Linked DNA regions of Pelodiscus sinensis. The protein of the gene in region 1 interacts with the protein of each later gene in a pairwise test. Links are inferred from orthologs where the notes say so. Each region holds a gene or a part of one and is shown on either strand. Other genes may lie near its edges. The genes, in order: PDIK1L and C23H1orf174.

The links.
Region 2: the proteins of PDIK1L (region 1) and C23H1orf174 interact in binary tests that used the Homo sapiens proteins (3 or more experiments, as listed by UniProt). The two-hybrid records come from large-scale screens. The link is inferred for Pelodiscus sinensis from reciprocal best matches to the Homo sapiens genes PDIK1L and C1orf174.

The regions. Positions count from the first base shown.
Region 1 is NC_134735.1:1,688,389-1,696,969, reverse strand, and holds the start of PDIK1L (serine/threonine-protein kinase PDIK1L), read right to left. Parts: upstream 3,425-8,581; 5' UTR 3,298-3,424; intron 2,240-3,297; 5' UTR 2,166-2,239; intron 727-2,165; 5' UTR 710-726; coding exon 425-709; intron 1-424.
Region 2 is NC_134733.1:22,080,812-22,089,870, reverse strand, and holds the start of C23H1orf174 (UPF0688 protein C1orf174 homolog), read left to right. Parts: upstream 1-5,560; 5' UTR 5,561-5,685; coding exon 5,686-5,700; intron 5,701-6,824; coding exon 6,825-6,938; intron 6,939-9,059.

The DNA.
Region 1 (8,581 bases):
ATGGCGAAATCTGTGAATACCAGGGGCACTGGCTGCTACAGGGAATTCCCCAATACGAGTTTCCTGCAGCTCCTGGCCACTGCTGTGAGTTCAGGAGCCTTGGACTACTCACTGCTTAATACATCAGAAATCGATCAGAGCCAATGTAAAGACTTTTGCCCAGAACATGCAACAGTGTAAATTTTTCATTTCCTTAAATTGTCAGTGTTATATAATTTTACTGGTGTGACTTTATTAAGTCTGCTAGAGTTGCATGTCTATGAATCCGAAAATCCAGGGAATTCTGTTTAGCAGATGGTATTCAAACATCTAGAGACCTCATACCATCATTTACACTGTATGAAGAAAGAAGCAGGCCAAATCTTCCCCCTTTTCCTGTTCAGCTACAGATCCCATAAAATTATTCCCATCCTCCTTCGCATACCTGTAAATAGAGGGAAGAACTAGAACCATGTGACATCTTCTGTACCATACCATCTTTCTGCAAGATGCACTCCTCCAGATGGATAACATTTGGATGCTGGCTCTTGATACTACTAAGTGCCCAGAACTCACGTAACGCTAGTTCCACATTCTCTGGAGCATGGCACCGAATTTTTTTCACTGCAACCCGTGCAGAGGTCTTCCTGACAAGTGCTTCATACACCACACCGTAACTACCACGTCCAACCTCCCGTATTAGATCGTACTTTGGCTGGCTACTCACCATCTTCAAGGCCAAGGGTTCTGGGGAGGGGGGAAAAAAACATCACATGACAAAAAATCCTATGAATAATGACTGATCTGCTTTTCCTCTCTGAATCAGTTAATTAAGTATCATTTGGGCTAATCACTGTGCTTAAAATCAGGATTCCATTCAATAAACTTAAATAAGATTGTAATGAGCCATTATTTTCAGATGTTACCAATATGAAGAAGCATTAAACTTGTTCAGTAAAGCCACAATTAACGCCAAGAAGGATTTTCAAGTGTTACACTTTAGGCTAGTGATATAATGTTAGCCAGCATTTATCATAACATGTTCACAGTTCAAGCCCACAACATTTCTAGCTTTCACTTGCATTAGGTCAGGCTAAAACTGTTACATCTCACAGCATCTTTTACTTTAACATTTTGTTCAGTATCAGTGGAGTACAGTGCTTCCTTTCCCCACATTTTATAGCATTTTCCAGTAAAGGTACTAGCAGAAGCACATACTTAGTGGATCTTACGCACTGTTTCAAACTACATTAAGTGGAAAGTCACAGACAGCATGGGTAAATGTTTTATGGTGTAGTTTATTAAATGGTTTTCTAGTACCAAGGTAAAGGAGTATTTAAAAAATGTTTTTAATTTATAAAAATTAAATACAATCTGAACAGTCAGTTTAAACTGGGCAAGATATTTAAAAACATTCTACATTGTTTACATTCAAATTCTAGTTTCATTATGAAAGGAAGGAGGAAGGACTAAAACTAGTATGTTCATATTTTAAAAAATGGGAACATACCCAAGATCTTCTTTGCAAGGTTACATACCAGAAAATACAACATTACTCACTAATGCAACCAAGCCAGAAAGGAACACTAAATAGACAGAAAATAAACTTTGGCTATCATCACTGGCCAAGTGGAATGACTTGCAAAAAAACAAAGGACTAAATAGAAAACGAGCAAGTCAGGGTATTAGAATGAAAATGATTTTAGAAGTTAGTATCGCAGGCAAGTTGTATTTACCACAGGAAACCATTCACTAAACACTACTTCGCTGAAGCAAAACTATCAATCAACTTTCAAGTACCTACAAAGCGTGCACCATAAAAGAAATAATGGATATCCGTCTCATGACACCATTAGTGCAGATATATGGAGATGTGGCAGCAACATCTTTTATGTGAGTTTACAATTCTGAATGCATTTAAATATAAATTCCCCACAGAAATGCCAGTACAACGTGAGATTCAGATAGTAATATTTATTCAACCTGCTCCTATATTGTGATATAAGCATATGGAGAACAGTGCAGACTAAATGCTAAGGTAAATTAACAAGAACATACAAAAACAAAGGCACTCGCACACAAAAGAGGCATTAAGTATGGATAGTCAAAAAACTACATACAATTAGTGTAGTTGTGAAAGAAAGCTATGGTCATTGCAGGCTCAAACAGTAGGGAGCACAATTTACCTTTGAAACATCAGTTTACACAGAAGCAGGTCTATAGGTAAATAAAAGGCTGCCACCTGTCCTTCCCCATTGTCCTAAAGAGTTGGGGGGGGGGGGGGGGGAAGAGATTTCCAAATTCAACAAGCCCCTCCTCTCACAAGGCATCAGAGCCTATACAATAATCTAATCTAAGCAAACCTCACATCCCAGAAGACAGACTGTGAAGAGGGGTAACTGTTAGTCTGTTTCAGCAAACACAAGGAAGTCCTGTCGCACCTTAAAGACTAACCCATTTATTTGGGCATAAGCTTTCCATGCGCTTAAGCCCACTCTGTCAGATTCCTAAATAAGCAGTAACCCAGTTAACCATCAGCGGTGAGGTTAACAGAAATGATGGTGAAAACTGACCCACACAGGAAACCCCAAAACGTGCCCGTTCCATGGTTCTGGTTCTTTAGGCTATAGGAGCAGGGCCTGGACATTGATTGGCTTTGGGGGGGGTAGAAGGCTCCCCCTGTATATTTTGTAGTGGCACATTTCACAGTTTCTACCCCGCTCCTCCAGGAGGGCTCTCGGCACAGAGCAGCAGACCCCTAAAGGAAGGGGGTGCTGAGGGACTGGTGGCTTAAATGACTTTTACTGAGGTGTCTCCAGCCCATGGGCTGCCCCAACATTTAAATCAAGTCCTGGAAAAAATAGGGGGGGGGGGGAGAGTGGCGCGTTATACTGCACCCCCCCCCATGAGCAGGGTTCCAGGCCAGGCCTCCAGTCCTCCCTGGAGGCCAGAGCTGCCCCCCCCTCCGGGACAAGGGGGGAGCATCAGGAAAATCCCCCCCCCAGCAGGCGAGGCCCCACAAACCAGGCACCAGCAGGTGAGGCCTCCCCCCCCAACCCCCCTTTTCTCCTCAGCACAGCCCCGCCCCATCCTCTCTCCTCAGCCCCGCCCCCCCAGCCCACCCCCCTTCTCCTCAGCCCAGCCCCGCCCCCACCCCATCCGTCCCCCTCAGCCCCGCCCCCCCAGTCCCCTCCCTCAGCTTGACAGCGGGGGACGCAGCTTCCCCTCCCGCCAGGGTTTCCCTCGCGCCAGGGGCCCCTCCCCTCAGGCCGCGCTGCAGCCCCGGGCCCGCGGGGCTCCCGGCCGCCTCCGCGTTACCTCAGCAGCGCCGCGCGCGCTCCTCCCGGCCGCCATTATAGGGTTCTCTTCCCCCCCTCCCCCACTCCGGGCGCCGACACACCCCCCTCCGCGCGCCCCCGCCGCCGCCGGGGCTCCCCTCCCGCGCGCGCGCCGCCCTGGCCGCTTCCCCATTGGCTGAAAGGGCGGGCGAGCCCCCGCGCCTGCTTTGTGGCGCGCGCCGCCGCTTCTGATTGGCCGGGGCCGGATGCGCACGGGGCGGGACTTTCCCGGGGAGCTCGCGCCTCTGTTTGCCGCGTGGGATGCTCCCCCTCGGTTCCATGCGTGGGAGGGGGGAGGGGAAGGATGCACCATGGGTGCAGCTCCCAGAGTGGCCCGGCAATGAGGCTGCCCCATTTAAAGCAGCTGGAATGGGGGGAGGCGGGTTCGTGTAGCCCCCGGTAGGATGCAGTGGGGGGTGCTGCGCCATGGATGCAGCTCAAATGGGGGGGGGGGGCACCTCGCGCAGCTGGGAGAGGGGGGCGGGGGCTGTGCGGCCACGCAGCTCGTATCAACACCCCAGGTGCAAACCCAACGTGCAGCCCTCTTCGGTCGTAATGGGTTGAATTGCACAGGACTGGCCCGAGCCCTCCCCCACCCACTTCCCCCAGGGGACGCTGCTGCCTCCTGCTTGCTGCAGCCCCCCTGTGCAAACACCTACCGTGCCTGTCCCTCCTAGCTGCTGAGTGTCCTGCTGAATTTTAAGGCATTTCTCATTTTTTTATCGTCCGCAATTAGATCTTTGTCATTACAAAATCATAATTTCGCTTTTTTTAAAAAAAACAAAGCAGCCCCCATTAGACTGTCGCTTATTGGTTGCCACCCAGGGAGGAGGACTGCACCTTTTGTTATCCCTTGTCACTGTGTGATGGGGACATGCCTTTTAGGGAACTGCAAGCACGTTGAAGGATGCAAGCATTTGGTAAGATCCTTCCCCCCCTCTTGTCTAGAGGATGGAGGGCTATTGGTATCTTCCCTTAAAGGGACATGTCTGCATTTTTTCCCTGCTGGGAAGTGTGTGGACACACTCCCTGACTATGTGGTGTCTCTCTCATACTAGCCACTGCAAGACATGCAGTTCAGAAGCTATGGCAGCCACCTGAGGCCCCATCTTCTTGATCCCAAATCAATGTGGGAGCAAAGGCACCACTTGCACATACATGTTTAGTGCCCCTGGACTTCATAGCACAAGACGGTCAGGTGTCAATCTTCCTATAACACTCTCACATGGACTGGGCCAGGGATCAGTGTTCATTGCACACACCCACAACTCACACCCATTAACATTCAGACACACTCACACCCATTAACATTCTCAAGCACCTGCCTAGGAAAAACAGTGGAAGGGCCCTGCACCGAGGTCCCAGTATGGACAGTCTAGTACAGAGTACAGGGTGCCCACTTTTATTGTGTGGAAGTAACATCTTACTCTTTAGATTTTTTTTTAACTTTTTTTTTGCCGTAAGATGAAGCCTGTCTGATTAACTCAGTCAGCATTTATTTTGTGTGGTATGTTAATTTGGCCGTTAGGCTCGCAATAGTAGCTATCAGACAGTATCAGTGCATTGATGGCATTAAGGGAGGCAGAAAGAGTGTACAATAGAGATCGGATAATTCCCTAATCTAGTTAAGCCACACTCTGTCCCTCCACATTTGCCACTGTACTGTTCGAGTCTATTGATGGGGAGAGTTAGGTAGCCAATGCTGAAAAGGGGTTCATGTTGCAGCAGTCACTTCATAATCTATCTGTATGCAGGTGTTTAAGAGATCACACTCGATGAAGAGAGATTAAAAAGACTGGGATTTTCAGTTTAGAAAAGGGGAGACTAAGGGGGGATAGGACAGAGGTCTATACAATCATGACAGATATGGAGAAACAAATAAGGAAAAGTTATTTTCTTGTTCCCATAACATAAGAACTAGGGGTCACCAAAAGAAATCAATAGGCAGCAGGTTTAAAACAAACAAAAGGAAGTTTTTCTTCACTCAGCGCACAGTCAACCTGTGGAACTCCTCGCCAGAAGATGTGGTGAAGACTAGGACTTTAACAGGGTTAAAAAAAGAATTAGATAAATTCATGGAGGTTAGGCCCATTGGTGGCTGTTAGCCAGGACGGGTAGGGATGGTGCCCCTGGCCTGTTTGTCAAAGGCTGGGAATGGGTGATGGGAGAGGGATCACTTCATGGTTCTCTGTTCTGTTCCCTCCCTCTGGGGCCCCTGGCACTGGCTACTGTTGGCTGCCAGGACACTGAGCTGGATGGACCTTTAATCTGAGCCAGTCTGGGCATTTTTATCTTCTTACGTTATTTTAAGGGTACATTTATAAATGGTTTGTACAATTGCACCTACCACCAATGAACTCAGCAGCCATCCACCTACTCATCACATTGACATATTTGCAGCATCTATCAGTAAAGTATTGACCCGATATAAACGATAACGACACCCTTGCCATAAAGTATAAGCAAGCATTCTGAGCTTTAACTTCAATGGGACAGAGGGCTGGGCGGGAGTTTGCAACTGTAAGTTAGTCTACTGGTACCAGTAATAAGGAAATACTGTAAATCTTCAGCTAGTGCCCTTTTCAGCACTGCAGGTTCCCAGAGTGAGACTGTATTGACATCTAGTGGCCAAGTGGATTACAGGCAGGCCCTTCAATTGCAAAAGGGGAAGATCTTAAATTGCCAATCTCCTAGAACTGGAAGGGACCTTGAAAGGTCATCGAGTCCAGTCCCCTGCCCTCACAGCAGGACCAAGTACCACCCTGATGAATTTTTGCCCCAAATGGCCTCCACAAGGATTAAACTCACCACCCTGGGTTTAGCAGGCCAATGCTCAAACCACTGAGCTATCCCTCCCTTAAGTCAACTCTTTGTGTTTAATTGTAGCTGTTTGTGGATATTTAAAGTCTTTCAGACTAGCTACTGGGATGGGAGGAGGGATCAAAGCTCATGTGACTAACCCAGGCCAGAAGGGCTTGAGTGGGAGCCGGTGACACCAGGAGGAAGCCTGGGGAACTGTAGCTGGCTCAAAGAAGCAGCTGCAGGTGAGTGAACGGTGCATGGAGCGAGACTGGCTCTTGCAGGGACGGGCTGTGGGGTTACAACCCCCTCTGGGAAGGAAAATTGAGGGCTCCTGAGTCAAATGAGTCATTGCTCTGTGAATTGAACACATGGTTCTGCTCCTCCCGGTACCTGGCGTCTGTCTCTTGGCCACCCTGCAAGTCTTGCTGCCGTGGCTGCATGGCCTTCTCCGTCTCCCCGTGAAGTTCCACCAGCTTCACTGTTGGAGCGGAACTAGTGCAACGCGTGAATGGAGTCCATATCCACCCCCCAGCTCGCTGATGCTGGGTGTATCCGCCCTGCTCAGAGCATCAGCTAACAGCAGGAACTGGCCTGGACTATCTGATCTCTGCCTGCTCTCCCTGGAGCACATCGCTCTGTGCTGCAGTCCCTTTGGCTCACGAAGGGGCTCGTGGGGTCTGTGGTCGTACGGCGCTGTGACTTGGTGCCCGAGGCATGCGGATGGAGCAGCTTCCCCCCAGAGTCGTAGGCAGAAGCTCTTTCTCTGTGTGTGCATGACCCTCTTCATCTCTGCCACGGTTCTGCTGGCGCCAGGGATCCTGCAGAAGAGCCCCGCCCTGCCCGGGAATACCGTGGAATGATCAAAACCCGGATATTTGGATTGACCCAAACACTTTTTCATCTTTTCACTTCGGGACCATTTTTGTGATATTGACGTTTTGTTGCAATTCAGAACTTTAAAGCCACTTTTCCGTGCAGCTGGGACGGGGGCAACTGCTTATTGGTGGGTCTCAGCACAAACTCGTTTCACGTAGGCCACCAAAAAGCCACCCAAGGCGACGACTGTTAATTGCTAACTGCTCGGGCTGGATTAGACTGGGCAAACCCCGGGTGACCAGTTCCCTCTCTCATTACCATTCCCCTGTGACGTCCAGCCCCCTCCCCACCCCAGTCAAATTACTCTGGATGCTTCCTGATCTCAGAAACAGACACCTCTCAGCTTTGCACTCTTCATTCCTGTTGCATTACGCCCAGGCTCGGAGGCCACATGCGGCCCCTGGCTTTCCTGGATCCAGCTCCTGAGGCTAGGGCCTCCCCCCAGCATTGGGGATTCCACGCTGGTGAGGGGTGGATTTGTTTGTTTCTCACTTGTGTGCAGCCCCTGACTGATATTTCTGAGCGTCAGTGGCCCTCGACCCAAAAACGGTTCCCCACCCTGCAGGAATATCATTCTAGCCTGTTACCCTGTGAGTTGACCCTAGCTTTGTCAGCATAGGAGAACTTTAAAGAAGGGACTCGCAGTGTTGGAAGGGGCCGGTGCCCAGTTTAATCCTGGCCATGCTGTCACCAGGAGCTTTTTCCAAAGTCTGCAAATCCTCTGGTAAGGAGGCAGGACTGAGAATAGCCACAGCAGCTGTCAATGGGCACATGTGAAAAATAAAACCCTGGCTTTTGTGGCGCTAGGTGGCACTTTGTGATTTCAGATAAAGGGTCTCGTCTGACCAGGCTCCACAGATGGGGACAAACTCCGCTGCTGAGGTTCCCCCAGGAACAGGCCAACGCGAAAACGTTCCATTGGTGACGAGGTTCAGGCTGCCGGGAGAGAGGCTTCTTCCTAATGACTCATTTAGAAAGTGATAGACAATAAGGCAGAGACTATCTTACTGCCTCTGTAACATCCACGGGCTGCCCACAGCTGGAATACTGCCTGCAGATGTGGTCGCCTCATCTCAAAAAAGATACCTTGGCTTTGGAAAAAGTTCTGAAAAGGGCAACAAAAGTGATTAGGGGGTTGGAACGGCTGCCATATGGCAAGAGATTAAAAAGACTGGGACTTTTCATTTTAGAAAAGAGGAGAGTAGGTTGGGGGGGCGGGGATATGATAGACGTCTATAAAATCATGGCTAGTGTGGAAAAAGTGAATAAGAAAAAGTTATTCACTTGTTCCCATAACGTTAGAATTAGGGATCACCAAATGAAATTAGCAGGTAGCAGGTTTGAAACAAACAAAACAAAGTTCTTCTTCACACAGCGCTCAGTCAACCTGTGGAACTCCTTGCCAGAGGAGGTGGTGAAGGCCAGGAGTTTAACAGGGTTCAAAAAAGAACTAGATACATTCACGGAGGATAGGTCCATCAGTGGCTATTAGCCAGGATGGTTAGGGACGGTGTCCCTAGCCTCTGTCAGAAGCTGGGAATGGGGGACAGGGGATGCATTGCTTGATGATTCCCTGTTCTGTTCAC
Region 2 (9,059 bases), on another chromosome or scaffold:
GACGGAGTCATGTAGTTTAGACGTACCCCTATAGGACATTTAGGGGTAAATTAGAGCTAAATGCCAGCTCAGAACACTGCAAGCCAGGACTGGTGGGTTTTTTACAGGACCTAAAGGAAACCGGACGCATGGCAAGCAGACATCTGGCTAACTAAAATTATGCCAGACCACAGATGTTGCTGGATCAGAGAGTGCCAGATTAGAGAGGTTCAACCTGTATTCTTGATCCATTAAAACAAGAAAAAGCAGATGTGTAATTTAGTATGAATCCAGAACTCACTGAAGTCAATGGGGAGTCCTTGCATAGACTTAAGTGGACTTTGGATAGGGCTCCAACTGTTACCCAGCACATGTGCTCTGGGCATGGAAACATAGTCAGTTACAAACCACAGATACCAATAATTACTCAAAATGATAAAATAATTATTATTTTTTAAATAACTACATACTTCAATGTAGGTGTTGCATTCCTTGCTTCACATCAATTCATCTCATATTATTGGTGTCACTGGAATCCTCAAAGTTAAACAGATTTGAGTTACTAACATACTTTGTTCCCTGTGGGGTGCAAAAATGAACTCAGGCAAATCTGAATAAGTCCCTAATGGCACATATTATAAATCAAACAACAGTTACAGAAAGGAGGTGCTGTGGGAAGGGAAAAGGATCTGTAATGTTTGTAACTGATGGAGCGAGAAGGCAAAATTTGTGTTTTTCGAAACATCAGCCCACTGGGGAGCAACATAAAGCAAGATTCTTCATTTTTATAAAAAGGTGATTTTAACATAGTCCTGTCTCTGGGCAAAATTCTCCACTCCCAGCTGCACTGCCAGCCTCCAATGAATTTTTATTCATAATTAGCATCAATTGCTGTTCCACATACAAAATGTGCAGTAGAGACTAGGGATGTAAAATCCTGTTTAATTGCCACTTTTAAAAAACGAGTAGTCCTGTGGCTCCTTAGAGACTAACAAATATATATAGGTAGTATCATGAGCTTTCATGGGCACAACCCACTTCTTCAGATGAAATGATCTTGAGACATTTCATCTGAAGAAGTGGGTTTTGCTCACAAAACTCATGATACTATCTATACATATTTGTTAGTCTCTAAGGCTATGTCTAGACTACATCCCTCTTTCGAAAGAGGGATGTAAATTAGACAGATCAAAATTGCAAATGAAGCTGGGATTTGAATTTCCCATGCTTCATTTGCATAATGGCGGCCACGTGTACTTTCGAAAAAGGGCTTTTTGAAAATGAAATCGCCATCTAGACGCGGTTCTTTCGGGAAAAAAACCCTTTTTCAAAAGATCCTGTAAACCTCATTTTCTGAGGAGTACAGGATCTTTTGGAAAAGGGGGGGATACGAAAAAACCGCATCTAGTCGGCGGTTTCACTTTCGAAAAGCTCTTTTTTGAAAGAACATGTGGCCGCCATTATGCAAATGAAGTGCAGGAAATTCAATCCCAACTTCATTTGCAATTTCGATATGTCTAATTTACATCCCTCTTTCGAAAGAGGGAGGTAGTCTGGACATGACCTAAGATGCCACAGGACAACTCTTTTTTTAAAAAAAATTGTTTTTAAAGTTACAGACTAACACAGCTACCCCTCTGAGACCCATTTAATTGGTTAACCTGTTAAACATGAAGTTTAACCAGTTAACCAATTAAGGGTGCTCCAGCTCAGCTGGGATGAAGCACCCATTCAGTCCCTCTCCCATCCCCCTCACCTCCCGCCACAGGCAGGGGCTGCTCCAGCCTGGCCTGAGCAACCCCTGCCTATAGGGGAGGGGGGTGCCGCTCCAGCCCTGCTGCAGACAGGGGCTGCTCCGGAAGCCCAGGGCAACCTCTGCCTGTGACACACGGGGCCCACCAGGAACAGGGCTGCTCCAGCCCTCACCAGTTAACGGAACTCATAAGCATCATCCATTAAGGGTGACGATTACTGGTTAACCAGTTAACCTTTCACATCCCTTCTAGGAACCCAGAAGACAGAGAAGAAATCTGCCCTTTTACTATTATATCCCCTTTAAATCTCTTGTTACGCCTTAAATCATCTCCCAAAATATAATTGTTTTGTTTGTCTGCAAACTTTTGATCCTCCTTGCTTTCAGAAAGGGGATTCTATGTAAAGCATTAGCCATAATATTGAAATGTCAGGTATTCAAACAACATGTATGCCCCCCAGGACATATAAGTTTAATTTAAAATCATGGCATTTTTCTAAAACAATAAAGGTTGGGTTCTTTTTGCTTTCTGTGCTCTGAGCTTATTTAGGGGTCACATTTTCAAGCTTGTCTCCACAACCTTGAAACCTATGGATTGGCTAAATGGACTGTAAAATGGATAGAAAGCTGGCTAGACTGTCGGGTCTAGTGGGTAGTGATCAATGGCTCAATGTCAGGTTGGCGGTCAGTTTCTAATGGAGTGCCCCAAGGATCGGTTCTAGGACCGGTTTTGTTCAATATCTTTATTAATGACCTGGATGAGGGGATGGATTGCATCCTCAGCAAGTTTGCAGATGACACTAAGGTAGGGGGAGAGGTAGATATGCTGGAAGGCAGGAATAGGGTGACCTGGACAGATTAGAGGATTGGGCCACAAGAAATCTGATGAGGTTCAACAAGAACAAGTGTAGAGTCCTGCACTTGGGACAGAAGAATCCCAAGCATTGTTACAGGCTGGGGACTGAATGGCTAAGTAGCAGTTCTACAGAAGAGGACTTGGGAATTACAGTGGACGAGAAGCTGGATATGAGTCAACTGTGTGCCCTTGTAGCCAAGGCTAATGGCATATTAGCTTGCATTAAGAGGAGCATTTCCAGCAGATCCAGAGAAGTGATTCTTCCCCTTTATTCAGCTCTGGTGAGGCCACATCTGGAGTATTGTGTCCAGTTCTGGGCCCCCAAGTACAGGAAGGATGTGGACGCATTGGAGAGGGTCCAGCGGAGAGTGACCAAAATGATTAGGGGGCTGGAGCACATGACCTATGAGGAGAGACTGAGGAAGTTGGGTTTGTTCAGTCTGCAGAAGCGAAGAGTGAGGGGGGATTTGAGAGCAGCCCTCAACTTCCTGAAGGGAGGTTCCAAAGAGCCTAGAGAAAGGCTGTTCTCAATAGTGATGGATGGCAGAACAAGGAGCAATGGTCTCAAGTTACAGTGGGAGACATCTAGGTTGGATATTAGGAAAAATTATTTCACTAGGAGGGTGGTGAAGCACTGGAATGGGTTACCTAGGGAAGTGGTGGAATCTCCATCCCTAGAGGTTTTTAAGTCTTGGCTTGACAAAGCCCTGGCTAGGTTGATTTATTTGGGATTGGTCCTGCCTTGGGCAGGGGGCTGGTCTTGATGACCTCCTGAGGTCTCTTCCAGCTCTATGAATCTATGGGTATGTCTACACTGTCACCCTAGTTCAAACTAGGGTGGCTAATGTAGGCATTCGAGCTTGCAAATGTAGGCACGGACTAGGTAGTTCGAAGTAAAGCAATGAGGAGTAATGGTAGTTCGAATTAGGAGCTTTAATTCGAACTACCTAGTCCGTACCGCGTGTAGCCGCGGGCAGGGAGTTCAAACTACGGGGCATTTAAAAATGGCAGCGCCCAGGAACATGAAAATAAAGCCCAGGATATTTAAATCCCAGGCTTCATTTGAAAGCCTACATTAGCCAGGCTTCATTTGCAAGTCTACATTTAAATCCTAGGCTTCATTTGAATGCCTGCATTAGCCACCCTAGTTCGAATACCCTTAGATTCTAACCACAAGGAACTAGACATTTACTATACTTTAAATTAAAGCTGTGATTCCCACAAACTGCCATAACTCCAAGAACTGTTGCTTTGTGAGCAGTACCCATCCTTTCAGAACTCCCACAAGATGGCAACATTGAGGAAGGTATCAAATATCTTCTCAAACAGCCAAATCATTATCTATGAAATCTCATTATTTTTAAGCCAATCTCATGATTTTTTTTTTTTGAGTAGGTGAGGCTGCCTCATGATTTCGTAAAGCTTGTAATTGGCAATAGTGACCTCTCTGGGCATGATCTCTCCTCCCAGCCATGGAAACAGTTGTGGAGAATTCCTCCATGAGCGTGCACATAATTAGGCTTGGAGAAAACAAGATTTTTATGGATAAGCATCAGCAATGTTCCCTGTAATCTTTTCCATCCATGTGCAGAATAAATTGTATGTGCCCTGAGGCATGTGCGAACATGCACCACTACTAGAAACAAAAAACTTAGCTCTGGATGTTCTGCTAATCAGCGGGCAGCCCTTGACTCTCTCCTGAGTGGCCGCACAAGCTCACAGATTACAGGGAACACTGATCCCTCAGTAAACATTGATTTCACCATAATAGAAAAGGATGAAAAAAATTTCCAACGATAATGAAAATGTACAGCTAGGGAAAGGAAGGAAATTGCTTCTTGAGAACTTAGTTGGAGTGTGATTTGTGGCTATTTACTTTGCAAAGTTTGACATGTGGTGTGTTGACAATGGCTGTCTAAGGCTATAAAGCAGCAATAGTCTACCTAGGCTAGTGAGCGAGCTGCATGAGTGGCCGTCTTTCATCTCAGTGGGCCACAAGATTGTGGTAACCAAGACGGTCTCCCAGGATAGGGTACTTTTGCTCACTGTGCTTGCACACCTTCAATTTGCAGCATGTGTTGACTAAACCGTAGCACCGCTGTGATGGGACGCAGAGGGAGCACAGCTCTCCAGTCAAGTGTGTCCAGTCAGCCCGCACTTCCCTTCACAGTGCCCGTTCTTTACTGCGTGGCACTTTAGTAGCCAGCTGTATGAAAAAAATAGGTGGACAGAAAGCAGTGGCATGTGACAACTCTGCTCGTGGGCCACGGTGAACCAAACGCTTTGTGGGCCACGCAGAGCCCGGTGGGCTGCTTATAGCCCCATGGGCCACAGGCTGCCCACTTAGCTCCCTGCATCTCAGCTTCCACTGTTAGTGACCGGTCTGTGGCCAGCCATGTGCAAATGCGCGTAACCCAGTCAACGTGCCCAGCGGCTCAGGCAGCAGCGCTGGGGCGGGCGGCTCCCGGGGAGCCGGTGGGCGCTGGGAGCAGCTTTGCAGCCGGCACAGGTACCAGGAGCCTGCCAGGGACCCTGAAGGTTAAGGGCTGTTACCCTGCCACATCCCCCTCTCTGCACCCCAATGTCCCACCCCGACACTGCAGGCCCCTTAGCACCTGCGAGCGGCACCCACCCTGGGGCTAAGAGCCCTCGGCCCCCACGTGCTCGGGGCGGTGCCCCGCACAAAGATGGCGCTGACGGTTGGCCCGCCCCTCGTGCGTGCCCCGCACAAAGATGACGCCCGCTCCCTGCGTGTCTGGTCCTCGGCCCGCTCCTTACGTTCTGAGCGCCCCGCACAAAGATGGCGCCCGCTCCCTGCATGTCTGGCCTCGGCCCGCTCCTTACGTGCTGAGCGCCCCGCACAAAGATGGCGCCCGCTCCCTGCGTGTCTGGCCCCGGCCCGCTCCTTACGTTCTGAGCGCCCCGCACAACGATGGCGCCCGCTCCTTAAGTTCTGAGCGCCCCGCACAAAAATGGCGGCCGCTGCGTGAGGGGCGGTGCGGGCGCGGGGAATGCGGTGACGAGCAGCGGCCGGGGCAGGGAAGGCAGCGGGAGCGGGAGCGGGGCTCGCCCAGAGCCGCCCCTTCCTCGGCGTCCGATGAGGACCCGAAAGGTGAGGAAGGGCCGAGCTGCCTTGGGGCTGCCCGGTCAGAGCTCCCCCCCCCCCCCCCAGCGCCACACGGACCCTCACAATCCCCCCCAGCTCCCCCAACCGTCTACCCCGCACGGAGCCCCTCCCCCAGCCCTGCGCGCGCGGAGACCCCGCCCCCCGCAGCGCCTCCAAACGGCCGCCCCTGCAGAGCGCCCCCTGCGCCTCCCCCCGCCCAGCTACCCCCGCGCCCCCCACAGCTACAGCCCCCGCCACCCCAAAGATCCACCCACCCGGGCGCCTCCAGCCAGCCCCCCGCGCCACCGCCTCAGCTGCCCCCCGCGCCCACACAGCTCCCCCGACCAGCCTCCCCCGAATCACACCCACAGATCTCTTGCAACCAGCATCACCCCTGCACCCCACAGCGCGCCAGCCTCCTCCCCAAGATCCCCAATACCCCCAGCCAGCTACCCCTTTGCACAACAGAGACCCCTAGTCCTCTGCAAAGCGACCCCCCCAGAGCTCTTCCAACCAGCTACCCTCCTCATGTTACAGGAAGCCCCAGTCCCTCCCCCAAATGCCCCAAACAGAGCTCCCCCAACCGGTTCCCCCCCTTTGTGCCACTCGGGACCCCAGCCCTCCCCCCAGTGCCCCTTCCTCCATAGAGCTCCCCTAACCAGTATCCCACCCCATGCCACACAGAGTTCCTCCTCTGCATCACACAGAGCCCCAGCCTCCCCCAAAGAGGGCCCTCTCCACTCCCACCCAGAGCCCGGTGTGCTCTTTGCCCCCACAGACTGCCCTAACAAGAGCCTTCCCAGAGTCCCCCAGGGTGCGATCTTTGCGCACTGGTGGGGTTCTGTGGCCTTTTTCGCTGCCTGAGACTGGCTTCCTACCCGTGTGTCCTGCAAGTCTTAACCATTTGCAAGTCCCAGTCCAGTGGTGAGGAGTTTGAACCTCCTGCTGCCCCTTACATACATGGAGAGTGGGTTCTACCCTGCAGTTCTGGAGAGCTCTGTCATGGCCGTTTGGATGCCTACCATGATATTTTCTGAGATTTCTTGTTGCTGGAAGAGATGCTTCTCCTGCTGAAGGTGTCACAAAACCCCCACTTCCTCTTCTGGATTGTAAAATTGCATTTGGTTTAGCTTGCAGATGGAGTGCCAACTTCAGCACGCCAGAAGGGTGGAAACCATGCAGCCACCCAATTTTCATCTCCTCAAGAGGTTGATCTTTGCAAATCTACAAAAACAGTGTGTCTGGTAGGAAAAACATGTGACTTTTGCTGCCTGAGTTGTTTGAAGAACATTACTTACATTCATTTTGCAATGAGCTGTTAACTTTGGAATATTATTTAGGGGATGTTTTGACTTTTAGTAAGGCCATCAAAATAATATGTTGAGCAAAATGTTTTTATTATATTATTACAGAGGCAAAGTAATATTTTTAATTGGACCAATTTCTGTTAGTGAGAGAGACTAGCTTTTGAGTCACACAGAGCTCTTCTTTCAGGTCTGTTAAAGGTTCTAGATGTTACCGCTAAATGTTAAGGGACCATTCGGCAGAAGTGATCACCTCGCTCACCTTGTCTTGGTAATATCCTGGGACTGACATGGTTACAACTAAATGTTACTTAGTGTACACATAGGCTGTGTCTAGACTGGCCACTTTTTCCGGAAAAGCACTGACGATCTCATGTAAGATTGTCAGTGCTTTTGCGGAAATACTATGCCGCTCCCGTTCGGGCAAAAGTCTTTTTCCGAAAAACTTTTGCGCAAAAGGGCCAGTGTAGACAGCAAAGATTTGTTTTCCACAAAAAAGCCCCGAGCGCAAAAATGGTGATCGGGGCTTCTTTGCGGAAAAGCGTCCAATCTAGACGTGCTTCTCTGAAAATACTTTTAACGGAAAACTTTTCTGTTAAAAGCATTTCCAGAGAATCATGCCAGTGTAGACGTAGCCATAGTTATGCCGAGAGCAAGGATAGATGGACATAAACTTGCTTAACAGACATGCCTTGTATTAGAAATTAATATTCTATATGTCGATATATTAAACATTCATCACTGTGATTGTTCATGTATCTGCTTGTTAATATGGATGTCTCAGGAATTAGAGGTACTGCCGATCAGATATAGCTACATTTAATTCCTCAAGTTACTTCAGGGTATGGCAGAGGTGTGCAGTTTTTTTTGAACATGCAAGCAGTAATACCTAACTGCAAAAAATGCAGTGGCACCTTTTTCTTTTCACTCTAAAAACCAGGTTTTTGCATATTATGTTTATACTGCAGTTGAACTGTCTACGTTTTTATCATCATAAAACCTTGGAAATGGTTCTAAGGAAAATAGCATACTATAGTGCAACACACTGGAAGTGAGATCCTGACTTCCTGTTGGTTACTGTACTGGCTAAAAAAATTATGGGGAAAAAACCTCTAGTAATGTGCAGTTGTATCTTGCAGTTTATAGTGGTAACTTATTTTTCCTCACTTACAGTATTGTGGTTTATAATGGCAATAATGAATAGTTAGGGCATTTTCTGGTCAGTTAATGACTGGTGAGGTTAATGACTCCATTCCTTCAGCAAGTCACTAATTGCTAGGAAATAATGTGTCCTCCCCAGCAATCATTATTACTTTAATGTATGTGCAATGTGGCCTACTTATGGCTGCTGTGGGAACCACAGTTTTTTCTGAGGTTTAAAATCTGTTTAAACAATGCAGAAAGGGTTTGTTTTGTTTTTTACATCTAACTATAAACAGTTACAAAATGAGCATCAGTGTGATAGATTTAGCTTGAGAATTTGTTAAAGAATACCTTTTCAGACTCACTATATTTGTATTTTATTATATGGCCATGCAAAAAACACAATTGAGGGAACAAGTTTATACACTGTGGAGTCAGTTTTCTGGATTTGTTCACAGCATAAAGGGCAATGTGTTTATGTACTGTTTTGTGAACTCCTATATAATCGTCATCTCATAAAATAAGGTGTATAAAGTTCGTTCTGTTATGGTAACTGTAAATAACATTGTCAAAACAATCTGATGATTGGTAATTATTCACTTGGTATGTTAGTTCTGTGTTTTCCATGGGAAGATGATTCCAAATGGTGATGAAATGTTTGTAATTTTCTGAAATGTAATTGTCAAATTTTAAACACACTGTTAATCATAAAATCAGTTTTCCTTAGAGGTATAGCTTTGGATCAAATTGCAGCCTCCTAGAGAACACCCAGGTTACGTCTACATTGCGCTTTCTTGTGCAAGAACAAATGCAAATGAGGAGTGGCAATAAATATTGCTGTGCCTCATTTGCATATTTAATGAGCCACCATTTGCGCAAAGGGCTTTTGCACAAGGAGCAATCTACTCCTTCTTGTGC